2 linked regions of the Tamandua tetradactyla genome follow. The protein of the gene in region 2 binds, or shares a complex with, the protein of the main gene of each other region. Links are inferred from orthologs where the notes say so. Each region holds a gene or a part of one and is shown on either strand. Other genes may lie near its edges. The genes, in order: SHH and DISP1.

Region 1 (15,724 bases), on a different chromosome or scaffold from region 2:
GCTGGGCCACCCGGTCCCAGGCACAGCGCCCTTCACTGGAGGCAAAGCTGCGCAGTCGGCAGGGCCAGGTGGTCCCACAGGGGCAAGAGGTGGGTGGGGAAGAGGGGAGATCAGGGCATGGAATGGGGCCCAACCAGCTCAGACTAGAAGGCACTGGGCAGGGTCCTCTTGGGATTGAGCCTTTCTGCAGATTCTGAAATAGCGAATGCTCATATTGTGGTCTGAGATGCAGATGAAGTTTCTTTGAAAAAAAAGAAAACTACCTGTTTTCAGACAATGATCCCAGAATCCATAGTGCACCCCCCTCCCGGATTGCCCTCTGCTTTGCCAGTTCCCTTTCTGTGGTCACAGTTCTCCACACCTGCGCAAGGCTCCACCCTTCTCCTTGGGCCAAATCTCTCACTAGGACCCTTGGTCAGAGGTTCATGAGGAGGCCAGGGAGGCCCAGGGTGCAACTTTGCAGAAATAAAGAAAAATCCACTGCACACTTCTAAAAGAATTAAAAGCCTTTCGTTATCTCTGGACCCTCCCTCTTACCCCTGTACCTATCTGAGGTGAAAATTAAGCCAAAGGTAAGAGAGGGAGGTGGGAAGCTGATAGCAAAGCTTAAGGGGTGGGAGAGAGCCAGAGCAAAAAGCAACCAGGTGAGTTATAATTTTCAATATGGGCCGGGGCTGGGATGACAAACATTCTTTATCTGGACAACCACATTCTTTTTCTCTGTGGAACTCTTTTCTGCCTGGGTTTTCTGTGGTCTGATTGTGTTTCTTGTTTTCTTTAACCTGTTCCCTTCCTCCCCTCTTGTTTTCTTGGCCCCACTGTAGAATGGTGTCCTGCAAGTTTGAAGAGCAAACTTAAGAGGTGAAGGGGGGGCGGTGAGTGTGTGGATCAAGCCGGGACTTTGTGTGTGAAAGGGGTTGGGGGATGGGAAGCCAGGGAGAAAAATGTCCTCACCAGAAAGACCAAGGCACAGAGAGGCCCGAAGGCCTTGGGAAGCCTTCCTCTCAGAGTGGCCATTCTGATCCCCTTTCCTGCCCCCACCCCAAGGAAGGTGCTTGTAGGAGTAAAGAAACATTGGATAGCCTCGATAGAAACTAAGGTAAAATGGAACTTGAGGTTGTGATATCCCCTCCGCCCCAATTCTCCAGTAATATGGATCAAAAAGTCTGACTGACTCCAGAGTACCTGTGTGTGGTTACTAAATTCACTATCTGGGGATTTCTGTTGCTGTTAGTGGGATGGGGGCTTTAAAAAAGAGGAAATAGTGACAAAATGAGGGAGGTATCCTTTTGAGAGGCAGACAGAAGCAGAGGCAAGAGTGAACAATTTAAGTTGATTTCTGCAAAGGGTAGGTCTCTAATCTCCTCCAGGACAGGTAGGATGCTGGGGTTTTCTAAAACAACTCTTCCCAACAGGAGTACCAGGATAGAAAAATAGCCTCTATTAAGGACCTTAATAATAGCGTATGGGAACTCTTGCTAAGGGGTAGGGGAAAGAGAAATCTTGTTAGAAGAACTGCTGCCCACTTTTTAAGGGGACAGGTCAGATTGCTCAACAGGAAAAGTTCTGTGTATTTGGCAGCAATAAAAAACCCAGTAATATAGTTGTAGAGTTAAATATATAACAAACGGGTGGGGGTAGAGGGTTGGGGGTGGTCCTGGTAACAGGTCAGCTCTTGCAAGTTTCTGGGCCTGCTAGCTCTTTTCTTCCTTAAAAAAAAAAAGAGTTTGAGTGAGGTCATCTTGAGGATTGAACGCATTTTACATGAAAATCAATCAGTAAACCAGGGTCAGTTTAGAGCTGGGATGTGAAGCCAGGGTACGCGCAGGCGCACACTCACCAACAGGCACACAAACACACACCCCATCCGGAGCCTTCCCCCCTCAGCTCCCTTCTCTGGGGGAAGGTGAAGAATTAAGCAGCTTCCCAGAGTGCAGCTGGGGAGGGGGAGGGCAGGATGGGGAGGACTCAATCCCACCTCCCCAGGCACCTAGAACTGCGCCACTTGGGCCACGCAAGGAGCCGCAGGCCGGGTCAGGCCTGGTGAGTGGAAGTGGCAGCGCTGGGGACCAGCCGAGGCCGGAGTTTGCACCCAGTCCCCTCTCCTCCCCGCCCCGGCCGGCTCCGCGGAATTCTTCCCGGCCCAAGGGCCAGGCGCGGCCTCCGCCGGCGGCTGAAGGACGGCCCTCCGCCCTGGCTGAGCTGGATTGTCGCAGGCAAAAGCCGTGAAGCCCTAGCCAGTTATTAATTCATTGGGTCGTGTGCCACGAATCAAGCCCGATTCTGTGCAGTCACCGTGAAGCCCAGCAGGGCCGCCCAGGCTCAGGCTTTGTGTCCACAGAGGCAAAGTTGTTCAGCACGCCTCAGCTCCCGGCCACACTTCCTAATCTCCACACAAACGGATCGCGCCGAGGAAACACTTAGCAGGTACCTGTCATTGCAAACAGCTGGTGGGCTTCCTCCCCCACCCTGTGCCGGGGTTGGTGGCCAGGAATCCGAATTTCAAAAAGAGCCCCCCAGTCCCCCAACACCCTCCTCCCCACACTCACGGGAAAAACCCTCCCCAGACCCACACCTTGAACGCCTTCCCCAGCTGGCTGCAAAGCAGGCAGGAAATTTATTTAACGTGGCCTTTCAGGCTAATCCCCCAACTTCAGCCTCCAGACTCGGTCCTCGCTGGCCTCCTCACCCCCTCTCAGCGCCCCCTTGCCATCGGCACCCTCCAAGTGCACCCCGTGGGCCTGCGCCTGGGAGAGTGTGTCTGTCTGCTTTCCCTCTTTTCCGAGTTAATATTAACCAGGAGCTCATGCGTTTAAGAACCGCTCTGAAAGTTCCACTGGGGAAGATCTTGCCATGGTTGACGGACTTGGGCAGCGGTCACATTAGAGGGACACAGAGACACACCTAGAGACCCGGGGAGAGACTAGCTAGAGAAGCAGAAACGCAAGGCATACACCTGAGAGCAGAATCTAGATGTTTACTTAAAAATGAGGAGCCCAGCGGGTGAGCAAGTTCTCTGAGGAGCCCCTAAACCCTCTCTGGGCCTCGGAAGCATTTCCCTGCACCCACTTCAACTCCCACGGTCCCTGCCCCCACGTGACCCAGGTCCTCGGCCTTTCTCCTCGCATCCCTATCTCCACCTCCGCCTCCACTTTTAACTCTGAATCAGAATACGGGAATGTTACAGGAGGGATAAACCAAGGGGCACATTCCGGGCTGCCCTCCCCCCCCAACAGCCACCCAGGTTTTTAGGGTACCTTTGAGGGGTCAGTGTTGCAATCCTGGCCTGGCTCTCCCTACCCCACCCCGCTTTGGCTGCCCCTCCCCCCTCCTTTTGTGTTGGGAACGGGAATAGCCACTGCTGAAGAAAAAAGTATTTGTTTTCGTTTCGTTCGTCTGAGGGAAGTTGACAGAAGGTCAGAAGTTCAAATGCTGCCAGCTAATGCGGCGGCGAGAGTGGCAAGGCGTGGGGCAGGCCCGGCCCTGGCTTCCCCGGGAAGGCAGACGGGGCGGGGGGCTGGAGCCGGGGGACCAGAGGGAGAGAGACCGTGAGGGGAGTCTCGTGGCGCGGAAGGGGCCGGAGAGACCCGGGCGGCGCGGGAGCTCGGCGCAGCGACTGCGCGAGGAGCAGCCCCAGAGAGCCGCAGCCCGCGGAGCCTGCGCTGCGCTCGGTGCTCGGCCCTTTAACCGCCGTCACCACACCCCTGCCTCCTCCCCGCGCCCGCCGCGCCCCTCCCCCTGCGCCGGGCTTAATTACGATGATTAGAGCACTATTATTATTATCGCTACAGTCGTGGTTATGTAGCTAATTCCTGCCTGTGCGCGTGGAGGGGCAGGGAAGGGACCGTGGCGGCGGCCCGAGCCCCAGCTTGGCCGCACAAACTGAAACCCTAGCCGTTGCGATCGATAAAAGAGGAGTAAGTGGAGCTGAAAATGCGTCTGACTTGGTGCACAGCTCCGCGGGCTTGCAGTTTCCAGAAGGGAGGCGAAGACCCAGGGCTCGGAGCAAGGGCCGCGGGGCTGCGCTCCGGGTGCGGGCCGTGGGTGGGGTGGGGGACCCGTCTCTCCGCGCGACAGCCTCCCACAGACAAGGGCAGACGCTGACCCCGCTCCGACTCCGAAACCTCCAGTGTCTCCGCCCCCGCTGCTTTCTCCCGCGTCTCCTCCCTCCTCCCGGGTACTGAGGGACCCGGGGAAGGCTCCAGCCGGGGAGCGAGGCTGACCAGGGGATAGGTGCTGCGGGCGATCCGGAGAACTCACTCCAGCTCGCTGCACGCATCCTGCACACCGTGGCCTGTGCAGAGTTAATTGTAGCTCCAGCTTCTATCTGGCACAAGCGCGCGCGTCCATACTCTGGGTCCAGATTTAAGGTGGTCGGAAGCAGATGGGAGAGACCGAAGGATAAGGATCCTCTCCTCCACTTCCACTCATCCCACATCTGCTAGCTGGAGCTAGCAACCCTGGCTGTCCCCTTTCCTTATTCAGCTTCACTAACAAGCCCAGGAATCGGTTGGGAAGAGGAGCGGCCCCCAGGTATTTAATCTATTTCTCCTCCTCCTTTCCCTTGCACTTGTGCCCCACCAGCGCCGCTCAGTTAGCCGCTGTGCATGTCTAGCCCTAAAGGTAGGACTTGAATATTTTAATAGGGCAATAAAAATGATGTTGACCTATATTTGCGATGAAACCCATTTCTAGCTGCAGTCATATATGCACGGAGTTTCAGAAAGTCTAGAATAGGGTAGGTTTGCAGTCCAGATGGTTCAAAGGAGGTGGGGATGTACGTTTTGCTTTGGCTCTCTTTTCCAGCCCCCTTCCCACTGTTATTTATTTGCTCATAATTCCTATGCAAGCTGATTAAAAACTAGAGTGATGCAATGCCAATAAGTTCTAAGTCCCTCCCCTAAGGTACCGCGGGCTTGGGAGAATGAAAGAGCATCCTTAAAGAAATATCAATATATTCACACTCGGATGGGCACAATTGCAAACGACAGAATCGCAATGCAAGCTCTGTGATTCAGTCATGGACCAGGCAGAGCTGCTTCCCCCCACCCCAAGCCATTGCCTTTTGTCAGAACCGCCTCCTGGCTTTAGGAATTGAGGATTCCTTGGTGGGGGGCAGTGGGGTGGGGGCAGTGGGGTGGGGGCAGTCGTGGGAAGGAAAATCACAGAGGAGAGGGGAAAGTCTAAGCTTTGAGATTTAATGCTCAAAGCACATTTGTAACAGCGACATGGGGGAGGGGGGCATCACTTTTTGTTTATGGGGGGATTCCCGCCCCCTCCCTCCATTCCCACCCCCTCCCCTTGGTAAAGTGGCAGACTTGGAAAAGGCAGAAATCCCGAAAGTGAAGATTTCTCCAAGTTACCAGCCAGAACAGGGCACCAGGGGGAAGGCCAATCCCAATAAGACAGAAATCAAAGTAGGGCCATAAATGCAATCACATCTCCTACCATCCTCACTCCCATCCACACCCTAAACTTCTCCAGCTGGACACATTACCTCCATTCCTCCAGGAAGAGGAAGCGGGTGGTAGGTGGGTAGGTGGGCGGGGAAGGAGAGGGTGAAATCGCCTTGAAATCTGCTTAAAAAGCAAAGAGACTAAGTCTGGAACTGCTTCGTTACACGTAAACCCCTTTAAAGAAACACATTCCACGCCCCAGAGCTGGGTTTCTACCTGAGTCATCAGCCGGTCCGCTCCGGTGTTTTCTTCATCCTTAAATATGATGTCAGGATTGTAATTGGGGGTGAGTTCCTTAAATCGCTCGGAGTTTCTCGAGATCTTCCCTTCGTATCTTCCACTGGCCCCAAGGGTCTTTTCGGCCACATTGGGAATAAACTGTTTGTAGGCTAAAGGGGTCAGCTTTTTGGGGTGCCGCCTCTTCCCAAATCCCCTGCCGGGTCCGCACGCCAGCCCTGAGTACATCAGGAGCGAGGAGGCGAGGACCATCAGGAGACATCTCGCCAGCAGCAGCATCTTGTCCATGGAACCCAATTACTTCAAAGCTTTCCCCGTGTGTCTCTGTGTGAGCGTGTGTGCACGCGTGTGTGTGCGTGTTCGCTCTTCTCTTGCGCTCTCCCTTTCTCGCTCCGGCTCGCTCTCTCCCTTGCTCTCTCCCTTGCTCTCTTTCTCTTCCTATATAACCTTGCCCGCCGCTGCTGCGTGGGACTCTCCACCGATCCCCAGCCAGACAGGTGCTGGAATGGCAGGCTGCCGGTCGCTGATAACGGAACACATCGGAGTTGGGTCGCGAGACAGCAATCAAAAGACAAAAAGAGTCTGATTTTAAATGGTAGCAAGCCTAGAGACGCTTGTGAGAGAGGCTGCCTTTAGTACTATATTATAGCTGGCAGGGGCGTATCTGATTGGCCAAGGCAGCACAAGCTTGTCTTCTGATGTTTAACCCTCAAAAAGGCTACATTTTTTTTTTCTGTTGCTGCTGCTGCTTTATTTTCACCTGAAGGCTTCGAGTAAAAAAAAAAAAAAAAGAAAAATCTTTACTAAGACAAAGGTGGGTGGGAGGGAGGAGGCATATTTCTTGGGATAACATCAATTAAACCCTGCTTTGTGTGTATCTATGTGTTTCCCCCCTTTACTTCTTGGGAATGGTAGATGCTTCGGTTAAAACCAACATAAGTTTATAAAGGACAGTCTAGACCCCCCTCCCAAAGCTTTGATCATCAAACAAATATTCTCTGAAAGGTTTGAGGGGCAAAGCTGCCTAACTCTTATTTAATTTTTTTTCAGAGGCTTTACCATGCAGGCCAGGTCTCCCTACATTTTAAAGGAAGAGAAGTCTGAGTCTCCTCTTGAGTATTTAGCATCCTCCAAAGGAGGGCAATTACGAGTGACCACAACTTAAAGTACTGCTATTTGAGGTGCTTTAACTGCCTTAGAAAAACTTTAAAATATGGTTACCTTATTTTTTTTTAAATGAATGCATTGCTTTTAAAAACTCTGAAAATGGGATAAGAGTGGATTCAGAGGCAGGTAAAGAGCTTGGACAGTCAGGTTTCATGGGCAAAGTGGGTACCCCCAGCTCACTGAAGGGAACCTCTGCTTGTGTGTGTGTGTGTGTGTGTGTGTGTGTGTGTGTGTGTGTGGTGGGCGGAGGCTCATTGTGCCTGGAGGGCAGCAGAGAGTGGGCAAGGCTTTGCAAACACCACCCCCACAGATCGATCAGAGCAAAGTGCAGGGCCAAGGGATGAGTTTAATGCTAAATTAAGGCTCCTTGACACAGTGTGCAGTGCGGGCTTTACATGGAACTCTCCAAGCTACATCTGAGGAATAAGAGCTGGCCAGGTCATGGGCTGCAGCCAAAAGGGCAGCAGGGGACTAGAGGAGGTAATGTTGTGGTCAAATAGGGGCATCCTAGAAGACAGCATAACATCCAGAGGATAGCAATATCTAAGTCTCAGATCATGCACATCTTTAAGAAAAACACACGCACACACACAAAACAAAACAAAAACCCATCCTCATTAAACCAGAAAAATAAAATATGAAACTCTCCCTTTTTGCATAACATGTCCTCCTCCTTTTAGCCCCCTTCATTTCACTCATATGCAATATTCCCTCTGGAATGGGGCAAGGGAGGGGGGTTATTCATGTGGAATAGAAATACTGACCCTGATTGTTGCCCTGTGTAGCTAAATGTTCTCCCTTGACCTCAAACCTTCGGAGTGGAGCGAGAAGAGTACAAGTCTGAAGGTTCAACCCTCAAAACAATGGAGAGGTTCCAGCAGTTCATGCAATTTTCCTTTGACCATAAACATTTTTTGGGGTGAGTGTGTAAGGGGGATCTTAAGACACATCTAATTTCATTGTCACAGAGATTGAGCATTATCAAGACTCAGACAGTTAATGCCCCTCTCCCAGGGTTTACACAATTCCCTCCACCCCATCGCTATCCTTTTTCTATTCTATTCTATGATTTTTGAAGAATCAAAGTATTGATTCTTCAGGAAGAACGCTGACCTCTGGGCAAGGTGGGAAAGCAATGCCTAATTTATCAAGGAAGACTGAGAAGAAAGAAGAGTTTTCCAATTAGTTGAAGATGACAGAATTCGGCTGATAAATCCCGGGTTTAACTATTTGTCCAGGGTGAGTGTGTGTCTGTGTGCGAGTCTTAATTGTGTATGTTGTGTGCTCCAGGTAAAAACAGATACCAAAAATGATATTATGCTCTATACCAGAGGGGTCGGTTTGTTTGATGTGGTTACCTCGTGTAACACGTGTTGATATAATATCACTAAAAAGCGCCGAGGCTTAAGAAGTGATCTGGACCGTGTGGGAGACTTGAAAACCTTTTGATCACCCTCCCCCTCATTGGCATCTCCTGCTGTCCCAGTCCCTTCCCTTTTCCTGCTCTTTTTCAACTCTCGCGCCCTCACTTAAAAACCTAATAAATGCAAAAAGGCGGTAGCACCCGGGTTGCGATCCTGCGCCCACCGCGCAGAGGGCGTGCGGGCCCCAGGCCGGGGAGACTCTTCTGGCTCGCCGGCCGCGAGTCCACAGAGCGGCCAGCAGGGCTACTGCAGCGCAGACACGCTGGGGAGGCGCCCGGCCAATGCCAGCAATAAACGCACGTGGAAAAACCTTAAAGCTCCAACAGGCAGGGTGTGGGGGCCTTGTGTTTTCACCTCGGGCTGAGGAAAGTTCGGGGTGTGGGGTGGAGGTGAGGGTCACAGTGGGCAGCAATTTGACTTCGGATGCTCCGCGGAGCTCTCCGTTTCAGGAGAGAGCAGAGAGTGACTCCAGAGGCAAGGTCTCCTCCCTCTTAGGGGATGCGAATCGGCACTGCGCTGGGGCTACCCTGGAAGTTTCCCAAGCTGGTCAGGCCTCCCCTCCCCTGCCCTCCCCGGGAGGGACGACACCGACACCGAGGCCACAGCCCTCTTCTCCACCTCTCGGTTAGCCCTGGAAAACTCCGGAGGGCCGGCCTCCCCGGGGAGTTGGCCAGATCCTCATGACTGAAATGATGATGGAGAAATCACCATAAAATCCTCCACTGAGGCCTTATTTCAGAGGGTTGCCGCCTGTCGTGAATTGGGGGAAAATATGGGCGAAAATCAATAGCCGTTTATATTTATTGCCGTAGAAACTCAGGATTCTGTACTGCAAGGACTCCCAGCCGAGTTACCCGAGTTACCCGGGGAAACTGCGGTCTCCGCGCCACCCTCCCCCCTACCACTTCCCCTTTCCTTTCATCTCACCCACTTCCCATTTCCCAGACACCAGACACTCACTCTGTCTTCCACCTCCAGACACCAGATGGCTCCCTCTCTTTGCCTTTCCCCCTCCAGACAATTCGGGCCCCTCCCTATGCCGGTCAGAGGTTCCAAATCCTCCTGGTCTGTGCGCGACACGGCCAGACCTCCCGCACAACCCTCGGGATCCATTTCTGATTTCCAGGGCTCTCCCCTTCTTTCTGGGGGTCGTTCATATCCATCCAAACTTCTCTCCATCTATCTACTCATCCATCCATCTCTCTATGCATCTACTCACCCATCCCTCCCTATTGAGGACTGAGGGCTGCCTCTGTCTTCTGCCCCCAGCCCCCCAGAAGGCGCCCTTCTTCTGAACTCAACCTTTTTCTCCCTTCCGACCCCTGCCGCTAGATGGCCTCCTCACTCTGCCTTCGGTTTCTGGAATGTAGCGCTCTCTCTGGCTTGGGAGTGTTTGGTAAATCAGTGCGGAGCCAGGTTGGGAGGCCCTAGGAAGTGGGGTGGGGGTGGGGGTGGGGGTGGGTGTCTAGCCTCGTTAGTTCATCCTTCCTTGATCCTTGTAGCCAGTATCTGCGACGGTCTACCCCCTCCTCTGCCTCCCTCCATCATAGATTTGTACCCTCCCAGCAGGTAGATGAGAGCTCTGAGGTCCCTAAATCCCTGTCTATCACTTTTCTCCTGCCCTCTTATTTCCAGTCTCTGGGTTCTGGTTCTAATCCTACATTTCCTGTTCCCCACGTGCCCTCCCTTCCTTGATAGCTTTTCCTAATAATAATTCTACCCGATCTCTTCCTATCCTATCATCCAATTTCAGTATCTTTCCAGTTTTGTTCCAATTTTGGCAAATCGAATTTCTGTTGGTATTTCTTGCTCCGTTTCTCCTTCATTTGCTAGCCAGGGACCTCCTCTGTACTTTGGAGGGATGTGCTCTTTAGCACTGTTCTCCTAATCCCAGGGCATGTCCCTGATCAGTCTACTGGGGGGAAAGGATGGATGAGCCCCTGCACTGGGTGGCTTGTGAGCTCAGAGGTGGCTCAGAGGCCCAGGACCAGCCTCTGCTCTTCAGTGGTGGTAACCGAGAAGCAGGTGAAGAGAAGCGGTGGCTCTTCTCCCTTTTCTAGATAACTATACAGCAAGGGCATGGAGCTGGGTTCCCCTCCATCTACTCCCTCTGCCATGACGTTCTCAGCAGCGGGTTCACATACCTCCATTCCCACTGCCATGGAGATCAGGCCAGAGGTGGCTGTGGCAGGAGCAGCTGGGGAAGCTGCAGTCAGGACAGACAAAACAGCTTGGCTGGCAGAGAGGAGCTGGACTTGGCTGATGCTCGATGTGTGGGACTTTGCTGGCGAACGTTACTGTCACTCTACAGTGCACTGCAGAGGTGGTCAAAAGGTGCTGCAATAAGGGACAGGAGACCCAAGGCACAACTCCTTCCCCGACTCAGTAGCACTGTAAGCTCAGGCAAAACCTTTGATCTTTCTGGGCCTCATTTACACTCCCTGAAGTAAGAAGGTGGTGCAGTTGATATCCTGAAGTCTCTTTTTTATCTTTGTGTTTTATGGTTCCAATCTTTATTCCTGCCAGTTTTGTTCACCAAATACTTGTTGGGCACCCATCAGGCACTAGAAGCTGGGGCCTCCTAGTGAAGAGGCACAGTTCCAGGCAAGTGTAACTTTCAGTTTGTTTTCTTCCCATATGACACGGAACCTCCTGGGTTGGCATACTAATGGTTCCTTCCCCAGAACTTTCGTATTCAGCATCTCGTTTGCTCCACAGATTGGGGACCAGTAGAGCAGGTATTGATATCTGGGTTTTACGTGCTAGGAAAATTGAAATGCAGTTTTTTGCTGACACTTGAAAGCTCACACTGCCAGCTAGAACAAATAAAGCTATATCTTATAAAAGTAGATATACTAGGTCAGAAAATATGAACATTCCACCTGAATTATGGTGCTTTATGAATTTGTGTTGAGTTTCTCTCTTCAGACTATTGTTCTGCCTCTATTTCACATAATCTTCAATTTAAGTGATGAGTATTTTTTTATTCCTAAATAATGTCTTAAGTATGTATAGCTACTTATTGTTTCCAAGAGGTTTCATATCCATCTATCCATAGGAACCTTAGTGACAACATTTGCAAGTTGGACAGGGAAGCAGGAAGTGGGCAGGTAGCCTTGTAATCCATTTACAGATCAAAAACTCACATAAATAAGTCAATGATGGAACTGGATCCCAAATCTAGTTCTTTTGATCCTAAATCTTGCATGCTTTCCCCAATACCACAGCCACCTAGAAATTCGACTGTGGGACTGCCATTCCTTAAATCTTTGAAACTAGTGAAGCTGCAGGTGCCCTGGGAATGTAATACATGAAACCCATAGTTCTAAATCCTGGCTGCACATTAGAATTGCCTGGAAGCATAAAAACAGCGGCGCCAGCAACAATTAACAGTGCCCAATGTCATCATCAAATCAGAATTTCTGTTTTGCTGCTTTCCCTGTTGGGAATCCCCCAAGCACATTATGGGGCTGGGCATGATAGGCTCAGTTAGGTTAGATTACAGATCCACCAGTGGATTCCCAGCCTCAGCACCCTCACCTGTCCTATTAGGATGCCTGTTTATCTCTGGATCCCTTCTGCCCCCTGGCCATTCCTGGCACAAAGCCTGACATGGCTTCACACCTTCAAGGTTGAGAGGGTTGGAATGTGTGCATGAGTTTCTGGAGAGCAGGTATTGGTAGGGGAGAATTGGGTGAGGTGAGTGTGTGTGTGTGTGTGTCCAGGAGAGTGCCAAGTACTTGAAGGGCTGCAGTGACTCAAGAGGAGTGGGTTAGAGAATGGGTTGGCCACAACGAATGACTTCTCACCAGAGCCACATGGGGCTGGGTCTTGGAGCAGGAATTAGGTTTTGAGATGCCTCTGCAAATCTTCTCTGGTCAGGAGGCTGTTCTGAGACTTGAGAGAAGAGAGCATCCTAGCTCACCATATTCCTCCATGGCCCCTCTCCAGGGATGAAGCTATGAAGGCCAATTTTTTTTTTTTACCCAGCTTCTTGCTTTTGCCTACTGCTGAAAGAACCTCCTTCCTGAGCTTTGCTCCTATGGCTCATTCTGCTACTCTTAAAGGGGGGTGGTGGTGGCTGCGACCCTTCTGGCAGCCAGCAGAACCCTTACCTCATCTGGGTAACTTCTATCCAAACATTTTCTTAAAAGGAAAAAAAAGAATGCAATGCTGGCACACAGAAAAAACAAAGGCCATTTCTTTGCAGGAGCAAAATTAACTGGGAGATTAATCAAGCAGAAGCTGGCAGTTTATGCCATAAGTTCTACTGAAAGAATTAGAGTGATCAAGAATGCTCTTATGTGTCTCCAACAATTTGTGGTATCCTTTTCCATTCCTCTTCTATTCCACCTCCACTCTGTCCCTTTACTCCCTGAACTTGTCACAATTCTGCTTGAGAGCAGCTGCACCCATTATTGTCTTGAATCTTCAAGTCAGAACACAGAGTCTCAAGCCCTTTGTGGCTCTATTCTCTAGAAAGACTTGAATTTCAGTGTAGGGTCAGTGAATATTTGCAGATGTTCCCTTACATGGTACTTTGGCAAAGGAGGGGTTATAATCTTTGTATGGAGTAAAGGGATTCATGAAGTTCTAGGCCCAGCTCTCTCCCTCCCAGCCACATGCTCAAGGGCAAGTTATTCAACCATGCAAAACTTCCATTTCTATACTTGTGAAATAGAAAGGAAATAAATGATACCAAAAGTTCATCCAGCTCTTAAATTCTGTAATTCCACAATCTTAATCTCAGAAGAATCAAGGGACGCTAGAGCTCTCATCAACTGTCTCTTTTTATAGTTGGAAAAACTGAGAATTAGACTTTGTCCGTCTGCCTACCCTACTGTGTATATAAGAATGGACTCCGAGCAGCATCCCTCTCCTTACCCATTAGATATTGGGTCCATCTGAACTCTTCCCACTCTGGGCCGATAATCAGCCTCCCTTCCAGGAGAGGTAGTTTCCCAAGAGCTTTTTTGGCTCTGTCAGTCACTCACTACAGCACCAGCCGAGCGTGTAGTATGGGGAGATGTTGGGGAAGAGGCATGTAGGTGACTCGCTCAGCCAACTCCTGTGCATAGCTGGGCCAGACTCACCCAAGGAGACAGGGAAAGCAGCAATGCTGGGAATTTGGGGGGGGGGCATTAAAACCCTCTCCCCTATCTTCTCCATCCCCTGTCCCCATCCTGCTAAAGAATATTTCCTTTCTTTGCCTTCTTCGAAGCTTTCTTGAAAGGGGTTAAAGCATACTTTTTTCTTAACACAGAAAATTAAGAGTCAGAAACTACGGAGGTGTCATTGGCCGAGGGCTGTTTTGATAGGAGAGACAGACAGAAATAGGTTTAGGGGAGGCTAGGGAAGGGCAGTGGGGAGAGAGAATGTATGGGGAAAAGGAGGCATTGGAAGTGGGAGGTGTGTCAAAGGTGGGAAAAGAGCATAGAAAGGGAAACTGAGAGTGATGAACACACAGTTATAACATTAGCAAATCCTTTAGGACCTTAATTACTAAGCAGCCTTCTTTGAATTGTTTGCATTGCCCTAAAACTTAAGAAAACTTGGGTGGGTTCTCCATGGCTTGTCCCTTCTTTTTCTTTGGCTGGGGTATTTGCACAGAGAAGGACCCATTTTTTACACAGAGGAATTTCCTGACTGGGAGACAGAAGCCTGCATTCCAGAGGGAGGCTGTATGTGGCACTTCTCAAGATCACACACAAAACCTCAAGGAGTAGCTAAGTCAATGCAGACTATTTGAAGCTCAGTGCCTTGATGGGCTCTGGCTTGGCAGAGCAGCAGAAAAAATGTTGCGGAATGCTCAGAGGGACAAAGGAGAGAAAGCTTCATCAGGGGAAGGAGGTATTATCACTCCCTCCTGGCTTTTGGCTCATGATCACCTACAGAATACAGGGGGTGGGCCCTTGATTTCTGGGGATTGCATTCTTTATTTGCTTAGCATCTCACCCAAAGAGCGGAATTCATCAAGAAGTTAAATCTTCCTTATAAATCTGGGCAATCATAACATTTACTTATTCTGTGTTTATTGTGTATTTTAATTGAACCTGTATTAAATTTAATTAATCATTGCAAAAAGCCCAATTGATTAGGTACTGTTGTACAGGTAAAGAGACTGAGGCACGGGTAATCTGGCTGTAGAATCTGCACTCTGAATTTCTGAGCTGGTAGCAGTATTTATCAAGGGTCTAGTCTGTGCTCAGTACTGTGTTGCTGGGGTATGTCTTTGTGTAAGGGGAGGGGTAGATAAGTAGTAAAAGGGCCCAATCATCTAGGAATACAAAGTCAAAGGCCAAGACCCATATGTGTAGGAAAATTAGATAACGCATAAAAGACAATGTAATAATGAGGGCCGAGACTTGTGGACTATGCAATAAGTGGTCCAGGGATTTTGAGAAGAGTAAGATAAAATTAGGAATTCCTGAGAACATTTTTCTCTTCTTCCTCTGTACTTGTGACTCCTAGTAAAGTTTACAAGGCTTGACCCCTTTGGATAACAATGATAGTTAGCTCTATTTAGCATATCATAATTTTTTTTTCTATTTTTTTGTCATGGACAGACTCTGGGAATGGAACCCAGGTATCCGGCATGGCAGGCGAGAGTTCTGCCACTGAGCCACTGTTGCACTGCCCTATTTAGCATATAATAATTTATGCAGAACTTTGATAACTATTATCTCACTTATTCTAGATGGGAATGACTGTTGCCTGAGGTAGGCAGGATACGTGCTTTTCTTTCCATTTTACGAATGAGGAGTCAGAGGCTCAGAACTGAGACCACCCTGTCTACCTCACTAGGCCACTGTGAGATAATGGATAGAAAATGCCCAGATCATGTAAAGTGATATATGAATATGCAGTCTTATTATTTTACCACAAATGCTCTTTTGAGTCCATCAATTCTACCGAGTACCTGCGGAAGACTAACAGGAAAGCATCCAAGAAAGAATTTCACAATTTTCCTGAAGAGCTGTTATTAGCATATATGAAGCTGTAAAAGACTTTTGCCCAAGATCATTTAGCCATGAGTGGTCACCAGTGGAACTGGAGCTTGAATCTGGTCTCCAAGCTCCAAATATCATGCTCCTGAGCCTTGACAAGCCAGGACTGTCAAGCCAGGAGATGTCCAACAGGCCAGATGTTTCCAAGCTAACCAAGGTGTCTGCCACCAATACCAGACATAAACTTGGGTTTAAGGGTTAGACAGTTTCAAGGACATGCATTTCCATGATTCCCTGACAACTGATTTTTAAGATCACTGTAGGAAGAAACAAGGCAGAACATGAAAGAAACCTTTAAATGAGAAAGTCTTTTTCTATCAGTTGGGCTTACAGTGAGATTTCTGTTTTACGGTTTGGGGCACCTTCACACCTGCTGCTTTGGGAAAGGGCAAAGATCTTCAGACACAGGGCTTTTGAAAGCTGCCTCACTCAT
Region 2 (16,191 bases):
GGTGGTAATTTTTGCTTAGGTGGTTTCCATGAAGACGTGTCTCCACCCATTTAAGGTGGGGTCACTTACCATAGCCCTTTAAGAGGGAACCACTTTGGAAAAAGCTTCAACGCCAACAGAGCCCATGGAGACAGCAACCTTTGGAAATGCTGACAGAAAATGCCCCTGGGTACGCAGTATGAAGCAGCAGGGGGAGAAAGCAGATGTCGCCATGTGCCTTCTCAGCTGAGAGATGTCCAGAAGCCAATGACCCAAGCAGACGCCAACCATGTGCCTTATCAGCTAACAGAGGTGTTCTAGATGGCATCAGCCTTTCCTGAATGAAGGTAACTTCTTGTTAGTGCCTTAATTTGGACATGTTCATGGCCATAGAAATGCAAACTTGCAACTTAATAAATTCCCTTTTCAAAAGCCATTCTGTTTCTGGTATATTGCATTCTGGCAGCTTTAACAAACTAAAACACATAGGTTTAAAATAGAAGGGGTTAACCCTGATAGTTATTATCTTATGGCCTGTCCCCACACCCCAGGATAATGCTCTAGAAATTGGTCTTTTTAGATCTACAATGTTCTCATAGCTACAAGGTTCCCATCAATCAACATGCCCTCAACCTCTCAGCACTGTAAATACTCATACAAAAATAAACATCAGTACCTGTTCTTCAAGTCACAGCTCAACCCATCCCCAAACTTCTCCATGAAGTCATATCAACATTGACTTCAAAAGACTCTACTGGTCTTTCTCATAAGAAGTGCACAGGGTTTGTCCTAGATACAGGCAATAAAAGGATACACTACCTACAGAGAATTTAAAAACAATAATAAAATGAACTAAATGCCTGCTCTTTATACACTAGCCATTCTACAGAACTTCTGGGCTAAGATACATCTTCCCACCATGGCAGATAACTCCCACTAGCACCCCTTAGTATGGTACTGGTCAACCTCCCTAGCCCTGCCCAAATCTTTTATGCAATGGTTCTTCTTTTTCTTAGGCTCTCAAGCCAAAGAAAACAAATAACAACAGGCTAAGAGGAATCAGTGTATTTTCTGCGGTACTTAAAAATTGTGAGGTATATCATATCATTTTATTAGAAATATAAAATTAATAATGCTTCATTCTAAGCAAAATTAGGTAGAGTCCATATAGAAAAGAGTCTAGTAATAAAATCCAAACAATTTTGATTTAGTATTAAAACTACTTATAACAATAATCTCAACAAGTGGGTCATAGTCATGCCTAGAGGCTGGAAAATTTGCCAAGAATTATGGGATAAGTAGCAGAATAGATTAGTCCCCACTAACAGGACTGCAGTTTTATTTGGGATGATTAGACACTTTGAACTCCAATGTAAGGGACTATATAGGAGTAAAGGTGGTTCTCTAGTGGGTCTATAAGTAATATTACCATATTGTAATTACCAAGATTGAAAGGGGTTCTATAGACCTACATGTCACACTGATTAACACTAGAAATATGAACTAGTTCTTGCAAGAATTACTTCAAAGATATGATTCTTGTACAAACAGTGTTTAAGTCCAGGGTACAGGGGGAAACTGCTATTGCATGCTATGAGCTATGTTCAAAAGGAAACCATCAGCACTACCACAGCAACAAGAGAGGTAAATAACAGGGAGGAGGAACAAGAGTTAAGAGGAGGTTTAGATTTCCTATTTGGTGAGGGTATGTTTATTGGTTTTCTTTCTTTTGGGAACAATGAAATTATTTACAATTGAGAATGTTGATGGACTGTTGACTTTGAGCCCTCTACATGATGCCCAATGAATGCAGGTGGCTGAAGGATGCATGGACGGAGAAGTAGATTGGCCAACAATGGTGTATACTTATGAACCAAGGTTGTGCTGCTACAAAAAGGAACATCGTCATGAGGTATGCAACGATGCGAATAAACATGTGGGACATCTGGTGAGACAAAGGAAGCCAGAAACAAATGAACAAGAATGGTTTGGTTACCTTCAGAAAATGGTTATAAGAAAATAGGGGCCTAGATTGTAAGCTTTTAGAGCAGACACTTTAAGTCTAGAGTGGCAATTGTTATTTTTGCATTTTGAGAGGCTGTTTTATATATTTAACCTGATATTTACAGACAAGAATGAAGCTGAACAGGTTAGGTTTAAAGTACCTCTGAACACAGCGGTAAAGGAAGATAGTGCCTACATTTTAGAATCATACATACTCTTTGAGACCAATGCAAGAAAGGTTTATGTGGTCTGCAACTGAAATTTGCTGTAGTGCATAATCTAACTCAACCTATCTGTATAGTTTATTTGAATAGCTGAAACACAGGAAGCCCAGAATAAGAAAGAGGTCACTTAATCCTGTATAGATTATTGTAATGCCTGGAAACATCCTAGAGTATATTAACCAGATAATCAAAAAGTATTGGCAAAGTCCCCTGAGGGATGGGAGAAAGAATATAAAACTATTAAACTTTACCATCAGGGAATCCCCTGATACTGTGTCAAACCAGGGACACCCAAATCAATAGGCCATGCCCTGATCATGAGGCTTACTGTTGCAAAGCTTATGTAGGTAGCAGAGAAGCTTAGACTACCTGTAGACATGCCTAAGAGTTTCTTCTGGAGGACCTCTGTTGTTGTTTAGATGTGGCCTCAGTCTCTCTAAGCCCAATTCTGCAAGTGAAATCACTCCTCTCCCCCCCTATGTGGGACATGACATCCAGGGGTAAAAGTCTCCCTGGCAATGTGGGAGAGGACTCCTGGGGAGGAATCTAGACATGGCACCATGGGAACAACAATTCCATCCTGACCAAAAGAGGGAAAAGAAGTGTAACTAATAAAGTATCAGCGGCAGAGAGAGTTCAAATACGAGTCAAGAGTCTACTCTGGAGGTTGCTCTTACGCAAGCTTCAGTTAGACCTTGCTACCTATCATAACCTGCCAACACTCAACCAGGAACATTCCAGCCAATCCTAAAGAACACCGAGAGCAACATATAAGATTCCACAAGAGTTCCAGGCAGTAGAGTAACTTTCCAGAAACCTACAACCTCCAGATGAGTCCCTGGTCCAGATAAGCTCTGAAACCCAGCCCAGCCTCTCCAGAAAATCAGATAATTTCATCTCCCTACCCCATATTAGTGACAGACCCTTCCAAAATGAAAAATTTAGAATGGCTATAGCCCAAACAACCCTAAAGAGAGGGATGGAAAGATCAAAGGTGATGGTGGAGTTATACAGAGAACATACAATTTAACAAATGAATATGAATGCTGAATCATTAAATTGTTATCTCTTTTAGTCTCCAGTATTTTAGAGCAGCTAGAAGTAAATACCTAAAATTGTGGAAATGTAACCCATGTCAAAGTCTGAAATATGTTCTACAACTAATTGTGGTGCTGTGCTTTGAAATTTATAGCTTTTTTGTATATATGTTATTTTTCACAAAAAAAGAAGGAAAAAAAATTTAAGCCCTCTAGCCTCCTGTATTCTGGAGCAGCTAGAAGGAAAAATCTGAGAGGATTGTATGTAGCCCATGACAAACTCTGAGATCTTTCTTATAACTACTTGTTGAAGAGCACTTTGAAAACTATTGCTTTTTTATTTCTTTATTTTGTATATATGTTATACTATACAATTAAAAAAAGTTTTAAAAAAATTATACCTAGGAGTCAGCCTAGAGAACCTCTTTTGTTGCTCAGATGTAGCCTATCTCTAAGCCAACTCAGCAGGTGAACTCACTGCCCTAGTGAGTTCCAGGGGTGTAAACTTCTCTGGCAACATGGGACAGAAATCCTAGGATAACTGAGACTTAGCATCAAGGGACTGAGAAAACATTCTTGACCAAAAGGGGGAAAAGAGACAAAATAAAGTGTCAGTGGCTGAGAGATTTCAAACAAAGTCAAGAAGTGATCCTGGAGGTTTTTCTTACACATTACATAGACATCCCCTTCTTAGTTTATGGTGTATTAGAGTAGCTAGAGGGAAGTACCTAAAACTGTAGCACAGTGTTCCAGTAGCCATGTTTCTTGAAGATGATTGTATAATGATATAGCTTTTACAATGTGACTGTGTGATTGTGAAAACCTTGCGTGTGATGCTCCTTTTATCTACAGTATGGACAGATGATTTAAAAATATAGATAATAAATAAACAAATAATAGAGGTAACAAAGGTTAAAATAAATTGAGTAGATTGAAATACTAGTGGCCAATGAATGGGAGGGAGGGGTAAGGGGCATGGCATGTATGACTCTTTTCCTTTTGCTTTTTTATTTCTTTTGCTGGAGAGATGCAAATGTTCAAAAAAATGATCACAGTGATGAATACACAACTATGTGATGATATTGTTAGCCACTGATAAAAACCACATATAGAATGTTTGTATGTCAAGAATGTTTGTATGTTTGTTGTTTACAATAAAAATATTTTTTAAAAAATTAAGGTATATTCTACTTAAAATTATGCCTAAAGAATCACCCCAGAGAACCTCTTTTGTTGCTCAGATGTGGCCTCTCTCTAAGCCAACTCAGCATGTGAACTCACTGCCCTTCCCCTACATGGAACATGATTTCCAGTGGTGTAAATCTCCCTGGCAACGTGGGACAGAACTCCTGGGATGAGCCAGGACCCAGCATCGTGGGAATGAGAAAGCCTTCTGAACCAAAAGGGGAAAGAGAGAAACAATACAAAATAAAGTTTCAGCAGCTGAGAGATTTCAAACACAGTCGAGAAGTTAACCTGGAGGCTATTCTTATGCATTATATAGATATCCCTTTTTAGTTTATGGTGTATTAGAGTGGCTGTAGGGGAGCACCTGAACCTATTGAGCTGTGTTCCAGTAGCATTGATTCTTGAAGATGACTGATTAAAGATATAACTTTTACGATGTGACTGCGTGATTGTGAAGACCTTGTGTCTGATGCTCCTTTTATCCAGGGTATGGACAGATAAGTAAAAAAATATGGATAATAAATAAATAATAGTGGGGGTAAAGGTTAAAATAAATTGGGTAGATGGAAATACTAGTGGTCAATGAGAGGGAGGGGTAAGGAGCATAGGATGTATGAGTTTTTTCTTTTTTCTTTTTATTTCTTTTTCTGGAGTGATGCAAATGTTCTAAAAATGATCGTGGTGATGAATACACAACTATATGATAATATTGTGAGCCATTGTGCACCATATACAGACTGTAGGTGTATGAAGATTTGTCAACAAAAATATTTTTTAAAAAAAGAATGGTAATTCAAAGTTATTATGCCAGTTTCTACACTGGATATACAAACTTGAAGAGATTAATAAACAGAGCAGAATTTTTTTAAGTAATCACTAAGAGTATGACAAAAAAATTAAGAAATGCATAGAAATCAACATAGTTAATTCAATAACTTCAGAGATCAGTGTAACAATTTCTGATTTGAAAAATTATTCAGTATGTTCACATACATGCTTAAGCACTGTTTCTGTTAAGGCACTACTCTATTTTTGCAAATATCTGCTGTGCCTCTAAATAGAAGAAAATTATAACTCCCTATCTACTAAGGCATAGATCTTCAAGACCATCACAAGTTTATAAGCTAATAAGATGCTAAGACCAATAAAGACCAAACGTTCTAGTTTACTTGAATGAGTTCAAGGAAGACCACCAAATCAGATCTAAGCTACCTGTACCAAAACAGTTATTTTAAAAAATAAAAATTCTAACAGTTGAAATATCAAGCATGTGAAACATGCAAAACAATCATCAAATATCACCATTCACCAGTGAAATGGTTTAACTAGCTACCTTGCACAGATCGCAGCAAAATTCCAATTTCACTTACTAGATACATAAAAGCTAAGAATCTTCATAAATGCATTGAAGCAAGACACTAAATTATGCAAATTAGGTAATGTATACTAAACGCTACCATAAAACATAAATACTATGAAAACAATAACTGAAATTAATAATTACCTTCTGCTAATGATAAAAACAAGACCCCCCCAATATTACTACACACAAGTCATTAAGGAAAACTAAATGTGCTAATATGTATATAACAACAAATATTGAGTTTTAACTATTTTTTAAAGCATAGATATAGATAATAGATATTCCTTGTAGCGAAATAAAAAGGAATAAATTCTTAGGCATTGCTAGTAATTTGCTGCACCCTAATCTAAACTTGCCCTTTTTTATTAAAGTGAAAAAAACAAAACCCAATAGGATAACTTTTAGAAAAGAAGTGTTAGAAAGTTTGACAGAAAAACAACAGACAATGAACTGGAAATGCAAATCTCGACAGCACAGGTTTTCATATGATTATCACCGTGGTTATATAAGGGTTTATCAAGTGATAAAGAAAATAAGAAAACCTACACTTTGCAGAGAAGAGACCAAAGGGAAATCTTTGGTTGGTCTGTTTGCAAGAAGAGAATTTTAAAGTACTATCAGTTTGACAAACAACAGCAGTATAAGCTGGGACTGGGTAAAGATGAGTTAAAGTTTTCCCTGGGATAGTAAAATATTTTCCCGAAATCCACACAAGAGGAAAAAAAACACACACTAAAAAAAAAAAACAGCATTAATTTCAAGTGAAGCAGTACAAGTTCAGCTTCCAGCAGGTAGTTAGCTAGTCATATTTCTAATACATTTGGTAAGATGCCCTCTCATCTTCGACCCTGAGAGAAGGACGGATCCCTTCCTCTCAATCCTTTCGCTGGAATCCAATCTTTGCCATTTTGTGCAACCCTCAGACTCGCGATCAGCCAGCACCCGGGACACTCCCCCACGCGGGACAGCTTCCCTCCAAGATGCACTTCTGCTCAGAATCATTCGCAACCCCCGGTCTCCGGTGTCCCTCTTCTCAGCCTTTCACAGCTGCCCTCAGGGTTCTTCTCCCCTTCCCAGGCCCCCGGTCCTGGCTCCAGTGCGGGCTCCCTCCGTCAGCCCCAGGGTCCCGGCTCTCTCTCCGACCCTAGGAGAGTCCCAACTCTCCCATACCTACCCGATCTCCTCGTCCCAAGGTAACGGCCGGTGGCAGAGCCAAAAGACATTCGTTGAAGAGACAAGAGCGTGGAACACTCCAGCTCCGAATTCACCTCCAGTCCCGGCTCGCGGATCCTGGCCCGGAGCCCGGCTTCCGCCTTGAGCCGGAAGTCGTTCTCGGGCGGGACCGGATGTCCCACCCCTGCCCCCTCTCCTTGGACCTGCTGGCTGGAGGCTGTGGGGTCCCGGTGAGAACCTGCAGAGACTGAGAGAGTGGCGGGTTTGCCGCTGCCTGCGGGGGCCTGGTCTGAGGGACTTGGGTCGGAGGGTCAGGATCCCAAAAGTCGCCTTTCTCTCTTGCTCCTTCCGGTTCCAGTGGATCAGTTAACTAGTCTGCCAATGTCTGACCAAGCACCTGCTCTGCTCACTTTTTTTGAGAAACAGGTTGACGACAACACTGACTCCTGTCCTCATCATCTAGTTGAAAGATGACTTCGCCCCAAGAGGCAGTACTTCTTCCTTCACTCATTAATTAAATGTTTTTATTACCTTCTGTACATCACTTACTCAACAACCAGGCACTACAGTAGCAGCTGGGGAAACAACAGTAAACAGACTAGTGCCTCTGCTTTCATAGAACTACATTCAGGGCAATGAACTAGGCATAAAATAAATTAAACAGCAGCTTCATTGGAAGCTTCATCCAATAAAGGGCACAGATGATGAGCAAACAAGTGCAATAAAATGACCAAATTTTAGAGGAACTATGGCAGTGCTATGGGTCAAAATTAGCAAATGGGGGAGGTAAGGATCTGGGTAGAAAAGGCTTTTACAGATAATAACTTTTTGGTTGAGACTGAACTAAATGATGAACAATAGTTAGGGGGCAGACAAGATGGAGAAGGCCATGCACAGCAAGATGCCAGGGATTCTGAACTTGGCTTGTTCAGGGAGCTGGAGGGTATGGTACAGTTAATTTAGCAAGACTTGAGCTTATGGAGGCAAGAACAAGCACAAGAAGAAGCAAGGCCAGATCGTGAAGACTATCGTAGTTACACTAAATAATGTGTAGACTGTACCCAACAGGAAATCAGTAGGGCCCTCTAAGTCCACAAAATAGTGTCATTGGGTTGACCAGGGTGATTGGCCTGGTAATAAAAAAAAATAAAAGAAGAAAAAAACATGAGAGATCATGGGTAGAGCATTTTACCCTCAAGGATGCTTTCTTGAAGTGCCATATCCACAGGTAGAGATAATGGACAACTACCATGATCCCATACAGGCAGGACCACAAGGCTCATACCTCTTAGGTTGCTCCATTGGACAAAGCACCTCAACCAACCGAGATACAGGCTGAAAGCACAAGGAAAAGACAGAGGAAGAAGAAACTTCATTACCAGCTACAGCAATGAATACCGTCACATCTGCTGCTATATTTTTGCTTGTTGTTGATGTTTAATAAATATCCTCTCATACAGCAAGTCCCACCATCTCCTTTTTAAAAAGAAATAGTATAATATAAAATTTTCCTTCTTTTCCCTTTTCTTTTTGTCAGCAATAGAATATGTTACAGTATATGGAGATAGGACTATGGTGGAGAAAAAGGAGGAATGGATATCATGTAGAGAAGCAGGACTCAGAGGGCACAACATCATCTCCAGATGGGGTAAAACGACACAACTTTGTGTTTTCTACCATTGGGGAAGTCAGCAGTTTATCTGTGGTGATACATGAAACTATTGAATCATATTGTGGAGAGGAATGTCTTTGAAAGAAGAAGAGAGAGTTGTATGTGTATGCACTTGTGCTGAGCAGTCAAAAACTAAAATAGGATAGGCATTCTTTGGGATGTTTCTCTAGCGCACCACCATTCCCTCTATGTAGGAATGGCCCCAATACACAGATACAATCATTTCTAAGACTACATAAACACAAATTACCAAACTGTAGGGTGACTACCATCCTAGTTTTAAAAGGACTGAGGAGGATTCCAGGATGCTGGACTTCCAGTGCTTAAATGGGATAGTCCTAGGAAAACGGGACCATGTTAACAAATTAATCTTCCTTCCAGGAATTTTAAGTATGGAATAGGAAAACAGAGAGAAGCTTGCCATTAAAGCTGAATCATACAAATGGCAGTGCTCTAAAAAGATCTATAAACACTCTTTGCCAAGGACTCTGAGCCTGCTCTGTTTCCTTTGATTACATGATATATGCCTATATACTTTCAACATCCTATTTTGCTTAACTGCAACCAAACTAGTTTTTTTTTATTTTTTTATTAATCAAAAAAAAGAAAAGAAATTAACACAACATTTAGAAATCATTCCATTCTACAAATGCACTCAGTAATTCTTAGTATCATCACATAGATGTATGATCATCATTTCTTAGTACATTTGCATCGATTTAGGAAAAGAACTAGCAAAACAGCAGAAAAAGATATAGAATGTTAATATAGAGAAGAGAATTAAAATAATAATACTAATAATATATATATATATAAAGGAAAAAGAAAAAAAAACAAAAACAAAAGATACAAACACACAAACAAACAAACAAAAAACCATATTTCAGGTGCAGCTTCATTCAGTGTTCCAACCTAGTTACATTACACTTAGGTATTATTGTGCTGTCCATTTTTGAGTTTTTGTATCTAGTCCTGTTGCACAGTCTGTATCCCTTCAGCTCCAATTACCCATTATCTTACCCTGTTTCTAACTCCTGCTGGTCTCTGTTACCAATGATATATTCCAAGCTGATTCTCGAATGTCGGTTCACATCAGTGGGACCTTACAGTATTTGTCCTTTAGTTTTGGGCTAGACTCACTCAGCATAATGTTCTCTAGGTCCATCCATGTTATTACATGCTTCATAAGTTTAGTCTGTCTTAAAGCTGCATAATATTCCATTGTAGGTATATGTCACAGTTTGTTTAGCCACTCGTCTGTTGATGAACATTTTGGCTGTTTCCATCTCTTTGCAATTGTAGATAATGCTGCTATAAACACTGGTGTGCAAATGTCTGTCTGTGTCTTTGCCCTTAAGTCCCTTGAGTAGATACCTAGCAGTGGTATTGCTGGGTCGTAATCCATTCTGCCATTCTATGTCTTTTGATTGGGAAATTCAGTCCATTAACTTTTAGTATTATTACTGTTTGGATAATATTTTCCTCTACCATTTTGGCTTTTGTATTATATATATCATATCTGATTTTCCTTCTTTCTACACTTTACTCCATACCTCTCTCTTCTGTCTTTTCGTATCTGACTCTAGTGTTCCCTTTAGTATTTCTTGCAGAGCTGGCTCTTGGTCACAAATTCTCTCAGTGACTTTTTGTCTATAAATGTTTTAATTTCTCCTTCATTTTTGAAGGACAATTTTGCTGGATATAGGAGTCTTGGTTGGCAGTTTTTCTCTTTTAGTAATTTAAATATATCATCCCACTGTCTTCTAGCTTCCATGGTTTCTGCTGAGAAATCTACACATAGTCTTATTGGGTTTCCCTTGTATGTGACAGATTTTTTTCTCTTGCTGCTTTCAAGATCCTCTCTTTCTCTTTGACCTCTGACATTCTAACTAGTAAGTGTCTTGGAGAACGCCTATTTGGGTCTATTCTCTTTGGGGTGCGCTGCACTTCTTGGATCTGCAAATTTAGGTCTTTCATAAGAGTTGGGAAATTTTCAGTGAAAATTTCTTCCATTAGTTTTTCTCCTCCTTTTCCCTTCTCTTCTCCTTCTGGGACACCCACAACACGTATATTTGTGCGCTTCATATTGTCATTCAGTTCCCTGATCCCCTGCTCAAGTTTTTCCATTCTTTTCCCTATAGTTTCTGTTTCTTTTTGGAATTCAGATGTTCCATCCTCCAGTTCACTAATTGTAGCTTCTGTCTCTTTAGATCTACCATTGTAGGTATCCATTGTTTTTTCCATTTTTTCTTCTTTGTCCTTCACTCCCATAAGTTCTGTGATTTGTTTTTTCAGATTTTCTATTTCTTCTTTTTGTTCAGCCCATGTCTTCTTCATGTCCTCCCTCAATTTATTGATTTGGTTTTTGAAGAGTTTTTCCATTTCTGTTCGTATATTCAGCATTAGTTGTCTCAGCTCCTGTATCTCATTTGAACTATTGGTTTGTTCCTTTGACTGGGCCATATCTTCAATTTTCCGAGCGTCATCCATTATTTTCTGTTGGTGTCTGGGCATTTGATCAGATTTCCCTGGGTGTGGGACCCAGCTGGTTGAAAGCTTTTTCTGTGAAATCTCTGGGCTCTGTTTTTCTTTTCCTGCCCAGTAGGTGGCGCTCGTGGCGCTCGTCTGTCTGCACGGCAGTCGCCAGGGAAACCGCGCGTGGAGGCGGGGGTCGCTGGCCGCCGCGGCTTGGGAGAGTGCCGGTCCTAATTGCCCAGCTGGCCTGAAACGCCAAGCGTGACTGGAGGGCCCCGCTATCCAATGTTCCCAGTCAGACCGGGGAGCCACGTGCGTGGAGGGGACCCCAGTCGCCAGCCGCCCCGGCCGGGAAAACGCGCGCCTCTCGGGTATCTCACCGCAGCAGATTCTCCCTGCCCGTTCAGCTGTTCCAGAATGGGGTACGCTGTCTTTTTGGTCTCTGTCGTGACTCCGGGAGCTGTTTCGTATTGTTTCTGTTTCTTTAGTTGCTTTTCTGGAGGAGGAACTAAGACCCGCGCATCTTACTAAGCCGCCATCTTCTCCGGAAGTCCCCCAAACTAGTTTTAAGGAGAATGCACATATCACATTCTTGTTTCAGGTAATGTGCCCCCAGGACCTCTAGTAAATGGGCACTGAGCCAAATGATCCATATTTCTATTCATTAGTGCAACAAACTGGACCAGTTGTGGATATTTAACCCAAATAGAGCTAGGAGAGTTTCTCATGCATGGATTTTAGAGTTTGTGCACTGAGCTCCAACTTTGTCCCTCCTCTTGGTTTTTGTATTGATTTGGTAAGCTACTGGAATGCAATATACCAGAAATGGGTTGTGTGTTAGATTCAGTTGTCAACTTGGCCAGGTGAGCATACCTAGTCTTGTTGCTGCGGACATAAGCCAATGGTACCTGAACCTCATCTGTTGCTAATTACATCTGCAGTCGGCTAGGAGGCGTGTCTGCTGCAATGAGTGACGTTTGACTTAATTGGCTGGTGCTTAAATGAGAGAGCGCAATGTAGTACAGCTAAGCGGCTCGGCATTCCTCATCTCAGTACTTGCAGCTCAGCCCAGGCCCTTGGAGATGCAGAAAGAAGTCACCCTGGGGAAAGTTGTTGGAACCCAGGGGCCTGGAAAGAAGACCAGCAGAGACCATCCTGTGCCTTCCACGTAAGAAAGAACCTCAGTGGAAAGTTAGCTGCCTTTCCTCTGAAGAACCAACAAAATAAATCCCCTTTTATTAAAAGCCAATCCGTCTCTGGTGTGTTGCATTCCAGCAGCTAGCAAACTGGAACAGGTTGGCTTTTTCAATGGAGATTTATTAGATTACGAATTTACAGTGCTAAGGCCATGAAAATGTCCAAATTAAGGCATCAAGAGGAAGATACCTTCTCTTTGAGGAAAGGCTGCTGGTAACCAGGGTTCCACTGTCACATGGAAAGTCGTATAACAATGTCTGCTGGTACTTCTCTCCTACTTCTGGTTTCAGTGGCTCTCCCAAATATCCCTGGGTGTTTCTTTTTTCTCCCTCCAAACTTCTCTGTCTTTATCCTCTCATAAAGGACTCCAGTAAAGGATTAAGACCCACCTTGAATGGGCTGAATCACATCTCAATTGAAATAGCCTAATCAAAAGTTCTCACCATAGGTCTGCCCCCACAAAAATGGATCAAAAGAGCATAGTCTTTCATGTGTTACATAACAGATTCAAACCAGCTCAGTCTTCTCTATATTTAGATAGAAATATTGTGTAAACAAAGAATTGAGTTAGACATGAGCAAGATATCTAAAGCTGGTGGAGAAAGAAGGGGATAAATAGCAGGAAGGAGGAGGAAGAAGGAGGAATAATAAGGAGGAGAGAAAGAAGAAATAGGAAGAGAAAAATTAATTATCTCATAGAGGTAATAATTTTAGTTCTCATCTTTCTGGGTTTTGAATCCCAGTCTCTTGTTACATCCAATTAAACTTCCTGTCCTTAAATTCTATGAAATTTTGTAAACTTCCAGTAAGTTTACCATTTTGCTTAATTTTTGTTTTGGTAGGTTTCTGTTCCTAGTATTCAAACACCAAGCCATCAATTTACCAAGACACAAGTGTGCCTATCCATCCCATAGCATCCATCTCTTCTCACAAGAGTTTGGAGCCAGTTTCTCCCACCAAGCCAATGGCGGGAAGAGGATTTACAAACATTCAGTGCTTCCTGCTCCTTTCACAAGAAATCTGACACAATTTCCAAGGGGTTTGACAGCTTTAGTGTTAAAATCACATGGGTAGGGAGAATCGTAGACTCATAAGATATTATGTCTGGAAACCATGTATCACAAATGTTTCATTTTATAGAGAAAGGAACTAAAATCCAGCTAGGCAAAGTGGTTTTCCCAGTCAAAAAGCTCAGTAGACCCAGAGACAGAACCAGTTTAAGATCTCCTCTTTCCCAGTCCACCGTTCTGCCTGCTTTCCCTGTCTTAGGGCCCTACTCTTATTGTGGATCAGGTAACTTCGGGCGCAGAGAGCAATACCCTAAAGAGGCTCCTGTAAGGTACTTAAAAGTGTAAGATTTGACCTACCTACATCTACCTCCTGGCCTTTGGAGTTGATCTGTATTTATATACTGGCATTGGGCTGACTGCAGCATCCTGAGAACTGTTCAGAAAACATTTATGAGACATGGTGAGTGACAGTGGTTAATAGGCATGTTACTCTGAAGTGAGAGAGAAAACTATAAGGAAAATTTTCCATACATTTTTTGATATTCACCAACTGGCTCAAACAGATGGGCTAGTTAACATAAGGTTGGTTGTTTATAAACTTGATTTACATGTTCTCCATTTTCTTTAGTACATATAAAAGTTTTTTCCCTTATCTTTATTTTTCACCATCAACGTCATCAGCAGTTATATCTAAAACTATATCTTCTTCCCTTTGAACATGTAGTAATTTGGAATCCACTATTCTAAACTTGGAGGCAACCATAACAGCACTTCTCTGCATTATTAACTATTTGGTGCAAAATTGCATTAATTACAGATTATGAATCCAGAGATAATTAAGTTCAGCCAGTGCTGTCCAATTAATAATTCCAAACTCTACTGCATGGTGCTTACGGCAAAGGATTTTCTATGTAGATTCCAATCTTCTGTGATCTAATGACATCACTTAGACTAAAGTGAAAGACGAATCTTTTAAAATTTAAGGTGGTGTTTTCCTTCCTGAAAAGGGAGCTGCCCCAGAAATATACCAATTCAATTGAAAAAAGTATATACGTGATTTTTCATATTTTGGTCTAATTCTGTTGATTCGTATTTCCCATAAAGATATGTTAACATATATTCATACCCCTTGAAGTTAAACACATTTATAAATAGAAATAAAATATGCCTTATTTAACTCTTTTCTCCTGTGAAATTCAAATTAAATATGATTTCCACATTATATACTAATGAGAGATTTCTGCTGCAAACCCATTTAAGACCAAAAAATGGAAATGCCATGCATAAAAGAGAGAAACACAACAAGGAAGCTTGCATAGTATTCATTAATTGAAGGTTTGGGTGAGCTTATACACAAGTTGATAATTTTAAAGTCCAATTCATGTCTGTCTTTCTGCAAAAGCAATGGGCATTCCACATATCTGCTTGGTTCTCAAACCTGGCTGACTGTTCTCCCCAGTATAATCACAACTAAGCAGAGATGCTCCTGCCAGAGAAAGCTTCACCTCCTAAATTCCAACTTTACCAGTTAAATGAGCCTTTCCTTTTCAATAAAAATCTCACTCTATGGTTTGGTAACTAAAATAGACATATAGGAAAGTAGTCTATTCTACTCCTAACTGGAAAATCTCACCACTAGGTAGGTAATAAAATTAATATTCAGCTCTGAATCTCATAAGCATACATCTTTCCTAAGAAGAAATTAGCTATGGCCTGAAAAGGTTAAAGCAAAACTTTCCTTGTAAAAACAATGGATTTATGTTTTATAGGAGGATGTGTTTTCTCTACAGAAGCTTCCAGATTGGTTATAAGTAGTCATTTCCTTTATTTTTAGCACTCTCTTTGTTTTAACATCCTCTTTAACACTATTAAAAACAAACCATAAAGTACAGGTTGGTTGTATTTGCCTTCAGTAGACAAGGCCAAACCATGGAGAGTTATTTCTGATTACTCCGTATTTTTGTCCTGTGAAAGCAAGTATCCAAATTGCAAATATTCACTGACTAGAAAAATGCCCTACTGTTCTAGTTTGCTAGCTGCTGGAACACAACACACCAGAGACAGATTGGCTTTTAATAAAAGGGGATTTATTTAGTTAACATATAGTTCTTCAGAGGAAAGGCAGCTAACTTTCAACTGAGGTTCTTTCTTACGTGGAAGGCACAGGGTGATCTCTGCTGGCCTTCTCTCCAGATCTCTGGGTTCCAACAACTTTCCCCGGGGTGATTTCTTTCTGCATCTCCAAGGCCTGGGCTGAGCTGCGAGTGCTGAGATGAGGTATGCCAAGCTGCTTGGGCTGTGCTACGTTGAGCTCTCTCATTTAAGCACCAGCCAATTAAATCAAACATCATTCATTGCAGCAAGCACACCTCATAGCCGACTACAGATGTAATGAGCAACAGATGAGGTTCACGTACCATTGGCTCAGGTCCACAGCAACAGAACTAGGCACCTTCACCTGGCCAAGTTGACACCTGAACCTAACTACCACACCTATACATAGGGTTGCCAGATAAAACAGAGGATGCCTAGTTAAATTTGAATCTCAGATAAACAATGAACAACATGCAATATTTGGGTGTACTTTTCCTTAAAAAGTATGAAATTCAAACTTAACTGGGAATCCTCTATTTTTATTTGCTAAATCTGGCAACCTATTGCACACAAGTAAAATTCCTTAAATATTTCTGAAGACAAGATTCTTTAAATGTATCTAAAGCAACTGTCTACCCCAAAAGTATGAAAAAGAATATTGGACTGTCAATGTACTGTATAACAACTATCCACTTTTGTGTGCTTTCTTAAAATTTTGTAATGAAAAGCAGAAGCAAGACCAAAGGACAATGGGTATTATTAGGAACCAAGAGAG

What was found.
Region 1: the proteins of DISP1 (region 2) and SHH are in contact, whole or in part, in a cryo-EM structure (PDB 7E2I), measured with the Homo sapiens proteins. The link is inferred for Tamandua tetradactyla from reciprocal best matches to the Homo sapiens genes DISP1 and SHH. Residues at the interface, in NP_001356523.1 of Homo sapiens: Lys242, Thr244, Gly245, Tyr246, Lys247, Ala248, Glu260, His265, Arg299, Phe336, Gly337, Asp338, Leu339, Cys340, Gln341, Arg342, Thr343, Glu459, Arg899, His904, Asp906; in NP_000184.1 of Homo sapiens: Pro49, Asn50, Val51, Thr55, Leu56, Gly57, Ala58, Arg68, Glu71, Phe73, Lys74, Leu76, Thr77, Pro78, Tyr80, Pro82, Arg96, Leu97, Gln100, Lys186.

Annotation. Positions count from the first base shown.
Region 1 is NC_135327.1:201,345,428-201,361,151, forward strand, and holds the start of SHH (sonic hedgehog protein), read right to left. Parts: upstream 6,440-15,724; 5' UTR 5,982-6,439; coding exon 5,673-5,981; intron 2,428-5,672; exon of another isoform or gene 1,894-2,427; intron 1-1,893.
Region 2 is NC_135328.1:138,681,153-138,697,343, forward strand, and holds the start of DISP1 (protein dispatched homolog 1), read right to left. Parts: upstream 7,125-16,191; 5' UTR 7,019-7,124; coding exon 6,970-7,018; intron 1-6,969. UniProt on the Homo sapiens protein: Functions in hedgehog (Hh) signaling. Regulates the release and extracellular accumulation of cholesterol-modified hedgehog proteins and is hence required for effective production of the Hh signal. Synergizes with SCUBE2 to cause an increase in SHH secretion.